2 linked regions of the Callithrix jacchus genome follow. The protein of the gene in region 1 interacts with the protein of each later gene in a biochemical or structural test. Links are inferred from orthologs where the notes say so. Each region holds a gene or a part of one and is shown on either strand. Other genes may lie near its edges. The genes, in order: FLT1 and PGF.

What was found.
Region 2: the proteins of FLT1 (region 1) and PGF are reported together in a solved structure, tested with the Homo sapiens proteins (2 studies listed by BioGRID and IntAct, with this or other methods). The link is inferred for Callithrix jacchus from reciprocal best matches to the Homo sapiens genes FLT1 and PGF.

Annotation. Positions count from the first base shown.
Region 1 is NC_133506.1:147,658,562-147,663,130, reverse strand, and holds the start of FLT1 (vascular endothelial growth factor receptor 1), read left to right. Parts: upstream 1-1,558; 5' UTR 1,559-1,812; coding exon 1,813-1,876; intron 1,877-4,569. UniProt on the Homo sapiens protein: Tyrosine-protein kinase that acts as a cell-surface receptor for VEGFA, VEGFB and PGF, and plays an essential role in the development of embryonic vasculature, the regulation of angiogenesis, cell survival, cell migration, macrophage function, chemotaxis, and cancer cell invasion.
Region 2 is NC_133509.1:109,861,871-109,865,670, reverse strand, and holds part of PGF (placenta growth factor), read left to right. Parts: intron 1-688; coding exon 689-765; intron 766-2,825; coding exon 2,826-2,855; intron 2,856-2,959; coding exon 2,960-3,022; intron 3,023-3,800. UniProt on the Homo sapiens protein: Growth factor active in angiogenesis and endothelial cell growth, stimulating their proliferation and migration. It binds to the receptor FLT1/VEGFR-1. Isoform PlGF-2 binds NRP1/neuropilin-1 and NRP2/neuropilin-2 in a heparin-dependent manner.

The sequences.
Region 1 (4,569 bases):
TCTCAGGTGAGACCAACAGACACTGTGGCTCTGCACGTATGTGCCAGGTTGTGTCCTGGGTTGGGAGACTGGTAGGGAGAATGATCAGCCGTCAGCTTCCAGCTGTTCTGCAGAATGATCCTGTGGGTTTTAGAGGACCCAGGTGTGCCAGAGGCAGAGAAAGGCGCCAAGGAGAGCGGTGCGGAGCACTGGAAAAATAGAGCTGGTGAAACCAGCAAGCAAGCAATGACTCCGGCAGTCTTCCTTGCCTCTGAACCAGAAGGGATCCAGGGACAGTTAGTGGCTCAGGTCCTGCGGCTCCAGGTGCCCAGACGTGCATTTCCTGTGTGGAGTGGCCGGGGCCTCTCCTTGGTGTGCAGCCCAGAAATGTGGCAACTTCGGGTTGCCCAACCTCCCCAGGCGGGGAGGTAGTCCAGTCCTTCAGGAAGAGTCGCCGGCTCTGTTCAGGAGCCATCACAGTCCCTGGTATTATGTCCCTCTGACGGGTTCTAATAGGACTATTTTTCAAGCCTGCGGTATTTACAGAGACAAGACTGGGCTGCTCCATGCAGCCCACGATTTCAGCCTTTGAGGTAATGGAAACATAATGGAGGAACAACGTGGAATTAATGTCATAGCAAATATCTAGTGCTTCAAGTTAATTTCAGCCGGTTGTGGTCAAAGAGTCACTCGTCTTGAGTAGCAAGCTGCCACCAGAAAGATTTCTTTTTCGAGCATTTAGGAAATAAAGTTCAAGTGCTCTGCCCTTCCAAGTTGCAGGAGCAGTTTCACGCCTCAGCTTTTTAAGGTATCATGATGTTATTCCTTGTTTTGCTTCTAGGAAGCAGAGGATTGAGGAAATGACTTGGGCGGATGCATCAATGCGGCCGAAAAAGACACGGACACGCTCCCCTGGGACCTGAACCAGTTCGCAGTCTTCCCAGAGGTGCCAGGCAAGCGTCAGGTCCCCTCAGGTGTTCCAGGTCCAGCGCCTTGCGCCGAGGGTCTCTGGCACCTTTCTAGACTTCTCGGGACAGTCTGATGGGGTCAGGGGCGGCAGGACAACGCGGGAAGAGCAGGCAAAGGGAGACAGCCGGACTGCGCCTCAGTCCTCGGTGCCAAGAACACCGTCGCGGAGGCGCGGCCAGCTTCCCTTGGATCGGACTTTCCTCCCCGAGGTCCGGGCGGCGGAGCTTCAGCCGTGTCCCTTCCCCAGTTTCTGGCGGCCCCCAGAGCTGAGTAAGCCGGGTGGAGGGAGTCTGCAAGGATTTCCTGAGCGCGATGGGCAGGAGGAGGGGCGAGGGGAAGAGGGCGCGGAGCAAGGACCCTGAACCTGCCGGGGCCGCGCTCCCGGGCCGGCGTCGCCAGCACCTCCCCACGCGCGCTCGGCCCCGGGCCACCCGCCCTCGTCGGCCCCCGCCCCTCTCCGTAGCCGCAGGCAAGAGAGCCTGGGAGAAAGAAGAGGGTAGGTGGGGAGGCGGATGAGGGGTGGGGGACCCCTTGACGTCACCAGAAGGAGGTGCCGGGGTAGGAAGTGGGCTGGGGAAATATAAATCGCCCCCGCCCTCCGCTACTCTTCATCGAGGTCCGCGGGAGGCTCGGAGCGCGCCAGGCGGACACTCCTCTCGGCTCCTCCCCGGCAGCGGCGGCGGCTAGAAGCGGGCTCCGGGGCTCGGGCACAGCAGCCAACGGGCGCCTGGCGGCGAGGATTACCCGGGGAAGTGGTTGTCTCCTGGCTGGAGCCGCGAGAGCGCGAGAAGACCGACTCGAGCGGCCGGGTAGTTGGCCGCGGGGAGCGCGGGCACCGGGCGAGCAGGCCGCGTCGCGCTCACCATGGTCAGCTGCTGGGACACCGGGGTCCTGCTGTGCGCGCTGCTCGGCTGTCTGCTTCTCACAGGTGAGGCGCGGCCGGGGACCGGGGCCGGAAGCGGGCTGCGATGGGGCGGCCAGAGGGCAGAGCCTCCGAGGCCGGGGCGGGGTGCACGCGGGGAGACCAGGCTGCAGCCCGAGAAGCCGACTACGGCAAGAACCTGGGACTCTAGTTGCAGCGGGCACGCCTGGGGCCTCTGCGCCGTTTCTCCGAGGGAGCGCCTCGGGGAGTGGCTGACCTGGACCCGCGAGCATCAGCGCTCAGACCGGGTCCTCGTGGGGCTGCCCGTTTGCGACAGAGTCGCTGATCCCTTATCTGGCTCTCGGGTGGGATCTCACTGCCGAGGGTCCGGGCAGTGGGAGCAGCACGCACCCGGACCTGCCTGGCACCCAGAGCCTGCTTCCAGGCGGCCTGGCGTGGATCCGCGGGGTCCCCCGGAGCCGGGAGCAGAGGCTCCTGAACGCCTGCCAGGCTGCCCGGGGCTGAGCTGAGGCCGGGGCGTTGGTGATACTGTGCACTGGCCGCGACCTCGCGCCACGAAAGGGAAGGAGGAGAGCTGATTTGAAGGGGACCGCCTGCCTGCGGGGAGCAGGAGGATCTCAGGAGAGGGCCAGCGCTGGCATCCCAGGACCCACTTGGGCCCCCGAGCCTGACTGTCCCGGGGAACGCTCGGCTAGCGCCGCTTCTCCCCGCCGCGCGCGGACCGCGGGGCCACACTGCGCTGTGCGCAGCCACCCGGGTGGGGCCTCTGCCTGGAGCAGCGGGGTGCACCGTCCAGCCTGGGTCGCCGACGTCAGTGACCCTGACGGACGAGGAGAGTCAAGGGTCCAAATACCGTTAAGTTACTGACTTGTAAGCCTAGCCTTTAAAATCCGAGCTAAGAGAGGGCGGGCGATTTGGACCAAACGACGCGGTTTGAGCAAATCGGTGGGGTCTGCCCGCCACCTAAGTCAGCCTTTGCCGGTTGTTTGGGAGATGGGCGGTGGAACCGTCAGGGGCCGGGGTTTTACCAGCAGTTAGACCGCCGCCATCGATGGGTCAAAGCCCCAAGGAATCTGAGGGTTCGGACTCGCAGTCTCTGCTCACTGGAGCTGAGTGGCAGAGCCTTGTGCCCCGTTCCCCTATGCGCAGAGACTCAGATTTCGGAATGCCTTTCTTTTAAGCACAGTGGAGAAAAGGTAAAATATGAAATAAAATACAGTCGTATAAAATAAATCATTACAATTATTCCCGGGGAAAAAAGTAAGATGAGCATACTAAAACAAAACAAAACAAAAAGCTTGTCAAACCCCAAAAGCAGCAATAATTAAATTCCTTCTCAGTGGGAAGACTAACTAGACCATCAGTTTCCAAGTAGCAAGTAATAATTCCAGTTAGATTGGTGAAACTACTAAACCCGGAGGCCGGGCAAAGTAGTGACTTCTGAGAACTAACTGTAGGTTGAGAAATTTGCTAACATAACTATCCTAAATAAAATGTATTTTCTATTTCACAAATACATTTTTTTGTTTTGAAAAGTAACTTGTATTAAAACATAATTGCTTGGAGAATGTAAATACTTCGCTCGACTATTATGTAAAGATAATTCTAGGTAAGTTACATGAATCCAAAAATATGGAGGGAAAAGTACATGGTTTATTAGATTTTCTGTTTCACACAGACATATCTTTATTTCATAAACGTGCTGACTTTAGTGAAACATTTTGTTTGTAATTGGGAGAATCTTAGATCGGTGGAAACTTGACAGAAACGTGAGTGAAATTCTCTTTTGATTTTTCTTAGCTTGTAATCTACTTAACGGGGGCAGCAGTTTTGGAATTGTGAATTTTTTTTTTTTTTAATTTGCACCTTTTTTGGGGAAGAAAGGACTAACATTGGCAAGGTGAGAACCTCTTTATCTGAAAGTTAACAGAGTGCTCTGTTAGCTCATGTTAGCTCAGTCTGCAGCATGGGTGCTTGTGAAAACCCATAGGTTTCTCTGTCTGGTTAACAAGCATCTCACAGTAAAACAATCAGCTACCACCTACTTTACAAATCCCATCAGGTCTTTCGTGCTGAAATGAGGGGCTGCGTCTCTGCCAAGCAATGTCTAGTAAGGAGCCACATTTCTGCGCTGCAGAGTTCTCTTGCATCATTATGAACTGGGGTCTGCTCTCCTTCAAGTGCTATGTAATCTTTGAATACTTATCAGCTATTAATATTGTGTGTGTGCATGCTCGGGGTGCACATGCATTGAGATGTAAAATAACCAGAGGCGCAGTAATACGAAAAGAGAGTGCTTTTCCCCTCTAAAGAGTTTATTTACCTCTTCCAGACCTTCCGGGAAATAAAAAGATAACAATAATTCAGATACTTTTAAGTCCTCTCTATTGCTCTTTTTCTATAAAGGATACCAGTCTTCTTTCTCCAGCTCTGAGTCTCATTTCTTACTTTTAAGGTATCATAAACTGGATGAAAGCTACAGACTTTTTTCTTTACCCTCATTTTTCTTTTGTTCTGGAACAGCTAGCATTTACCATTTACTATAACTAAGTGGAAATATTGAAATTGTGAATTTGTGAAGGAAGCCCACATTAATATGAAATCAAAGTGCACATGAAAATATACCTATTTCTAAATTGAATGTAATAAATCTCTTATAATAAAGTTATTTTTCGTAATAATTTTTGTTCCTTTCTCCAAGGTTTCATGCAGCTGCGCTTTTTTGGGTCTAAATTGCA
Region 2 (3,800 bases), on another chromosome or scaffold:
TGGAGAGGGAAGGAGAGAGGCCAAGGTCCCAGGACTGGAGCCTGATTCCCAGGCCAGTGCTCCTACTACCCCAGACCCCGAACCCCCGATGGCTCCGAGCCCACTCACCTCTACCCCCACCAGCTTTCTCAGCCTCACGCTGAGCCCTATCCCAAGACTTGGGGTGTCTAGTTAAAGCTGGAAACAAATCTGCCTAGATTAAAGTTCCCGTTTACACCAGGAGCGTTTGGTGCCTTTCCAAGCAAGCGCAATTAACATGTCACACACACAGTGGTTTTATTGAGCACTTACTGGGTAATGCCAAGCACTGTCCTAGGCATACCACAAGTGGTATGTCATTCAGTCCTTCAAGGCGGGCATCATTCCCATTTCACAGATGCGGAACTCAAGGTTCAGAGATGTTATTTCACTTGTTCAGCGGGCAAAGGAGTCAAGATCTAAACATGGGTCTCTCTGACTCCAGAACACAGGCCCCCTTCCTGTGCTATCGCTGTGCTAGTTTCTCCTGCATAGGGAGGGGCCTCCCTCAGATCCCCATGCAGGTGGGAGAGCTGTTTGCCCCATGCTCAGAGTGGAGTGAGGGCCGTAGTCCACAGGTTAGCAGGAAACAGTCAGGTTCTCCTTATAAAGAGAGAGAGAAGAGTGCCGGAAACTCCCCAGTCCAGGCGTCAACTCTTTCTTCCTTCAGCTCCTAAAGATCAGCTCTGGGGACCGGCCGTCTTACGTGGAGCTGGCGTTCTCTCAGCACGTGGGCTGCGAGTGCCGGTAGGTCTCGGGGTTGGGGCGGGTAGCAGGGAAAGGCTCCCATGCCCTTGGCAGCCTCAGCAAAGATGGGTCCCAGGGCAGAGGCAAAGGCCGCCTATCCCTACTGCAGGCTGCACTTTTTTCCAGGCTGAGGGAGACCAAGAGAGCAGGACCAGAGGTGGCTGCCAGTCATTTTGCACCCCCACCAGCCAATTTTGCCAAGGGAGGTGGTCCCAGCAGCTGGGGTACAGCTGCTGAGATACGGCAAGGGAAGAGAGAGTGTGGATCCCTCCCAGACTCACAGGGGTTCAGTGCATGTCATTCCCCTTCCCTGGGGATGACAGGCAGCTGCCACGGGCCTCTGGAAGAAGTGCCTGGAGGCAGAGACATTGCAAGTCTGGACTTAGTTCTGGGCTAAGCTGTGCTCGCACAGGAGGGGGCAAACTGGGCTGAGAAGCAGCAAGAAGGACAAGCTCGGGTAGAAAATGGGCGGATGAAGGGTGGCTGCGATTTCCTTGATGTCGCAGCATTCCCACTACACCCCCTCCCAGTCCACAGAGCTTCTGACTAGCACCAGTTTTGCTGCCTTATGCCCAGGGCACTTGGAACATTGGTTAGCAGGAACAACAGGCCTGGCACTGCCAACCAGGTTCAGGGAAGAGAGGAATGGGCTGAGCCACTGCTCCTGGCACCACTGGGCCATGGATGAAGGCACCAGACTAGAAGTCCAGAACCCTAGCCAGGGCGGGAGGAGGGAAGACCACCACGTACTGTTCTGTGCCTAGGCCCACAGGAGCCACTTGAATGTTTCTCATTTAGTCACATACTTTTATTGAGTACCTAGTGCATGCCAGGCACTGTCTTAGATGCTTGGGATGCAGGGGTGAGCAAGGTCCCTGCTCTCCTAACAACCCTAGGAGGTAGATGCTATTGTCATCTACCCATTTTATAGATGAGAAAATCAAGGCTCAATAGTTTCATGACTGACCACAGCTAGTGAGTGTGGGAGGAGGGATTCTGAGCCCTGACCTAGCTCCTAAGCCTTCGTTTTTCAGGTTACCTCTCATGGCCGAGACCACGCTCTCTAATAGCCCCCAGGCTTGGCTTGGCTCCTGGGCAGGGCTGAGCCCAGGGTCTAGCCTTTCTTCACCATGACAGTGTTGGGGGCCCTGCCTCAGCCTGTTTCCTCCCCCTCCTTCCAAGCCAGAGCTTAGCCATATAACAGTAGCTTGGTAATGAACCCTCTTGGGCACAATGCTGGGTAGTGACCCAAAGCTACCTTCTACATCCCCTTTGCTCTGACAGCCACTCTCTGGGGACAGGCAGATGAAGAGACTGAGGTTCCAAGAGTGTGGAACCTTACTTGCCCAATATGGAGAGGTATAACCACACAGTCCCCAGAGGCCCTGGTACCTTGCCCTGGCTCCCAAGGGAGGAAGCAGCCGAGGGCAGCATGCCCTGGTCCCAAAGCTGACTGGTACCAAGCTGCCTCGTGCCTCCACCCTCTGTTCCCCAGGGGGAGATTGTGGCCAGGCAACAGCCACAGCCCTGGGAGGCAGAGACCGGACATGCCTGGTGACTTCAGGGCTGATGCTCCCTCCCCACCTCCGACCCTGTGGCTCACTCCCCGTGTTGTTCTGGGCTGGGGTGGGTGTGGGGGGGACGGCGCTGTGCCCCGACAGGCAGCCAGTCCATTGCCTTGCCATCATCTCTAATCCTTGAGGAAATTCCCAGAATGCACCCTGGAAGAAAGGGGGAAAAGCGGAAAAAGTGAGAAAGGAAAAGCAGCAGAGAACAGATAGAAACGACCCCAGATTTGATGTCAAAAGGCTGAGGAGTGCAGAAGCGAGTGGCAGGGGTCCCCAGGAGGTTGATTTGTCCCTCTCATGACTGGAGTGGGAGCCAAGCCCGGAGGCTCTCGCCACCTCTCCCTTGCCAGCTCCATGCTACCCCCTAGTGGTGTCAGTGTCAGCTGCAGGACCAGGACTCAGGATGTTGGAGGGGACAGGTCTGGGAGGCAGGGAGCCCCACTTACTGCTTTCCTAACGATCCTCTGCCCCTCTGTCTGTCTGTTTCCCTAGGCCTCTGCGGGAGAAGATGAAGCCAGAAAGGTAAGTGGCTTAGCTGGGGCTCGGGGCTCTCTCGGGCCTGCCAGCCTCCGTCCTAGCATGGGGGCCCCCAGCCACCTTGTCCTGACGCTTTTGGCTTATTGCAGGAGGAGACCCAAGGGCAGGGGGAAGAGGAGGAGAGAGAAGCAGAGACCCAAAGACTGCCACCTGTGAGTGCGCGGGGTCCCAGGGATGGCAAGGAGGCTGGGCCCAAGGGGAGCCCCGCCCTGCTGCCAGGGTTAGGTCAGGGAGGGGGAGAGGCAGGACTGAGGCCAGTCTTGGGAGCAGAACAGGAGCCACGCCTTCTCAAGACTCTAGGGCCCCGGAAGCATCAGGACCTTGGTTTTTGTCCCGGCTTAGCCCTAGGTTTCCATTGACCTTGAATGAACCACTTCACCTTTCTCAGCCTAGCTTTTCTCTGTGTCAGATGAAGGGCAGGAGGTCTAGCAAACATTCAGTCACTCTACAAACATTTACCGAGCACTTACTGTGCGCCAAGTACCTCTGTGAGCAAACAGAGTTCCTGCACTTTAGTGTTTACCTTCTAGTGATGAAAAGTCTGTCATCAGCTGCGCTGTTATCTGGGGTCACTTCCTAGCAGCCCTGGGGAACATGTGCCCCTCGCCACTGGCTCCCAGGCCAATATTTTTGCCTTCGGGTCCTCCTGCTTCTTCTAACCTCCTTGGTACCTGATGGGCAGCAGACTAGAGCCCCAGGCCTGAGTGTGGCTGGGAGAGAAGGATTAGAGGAGGGAAAACCCAAATCTGTGAGTGTAAATAGAAAAAAGAAAGTATTTCACATGCACAGTAAAGCAGTCACACAGTGCCCTCCTTCAGGGGCTGCGTCTCCTCCTCGCACACGACTCCAGGAAGTCATTTTGTGCCGTGGAGGGGAGATGACGCAAGTCCTGACCCCATGAGCCCCACTCCATGGAGAATCCTGCGGAAT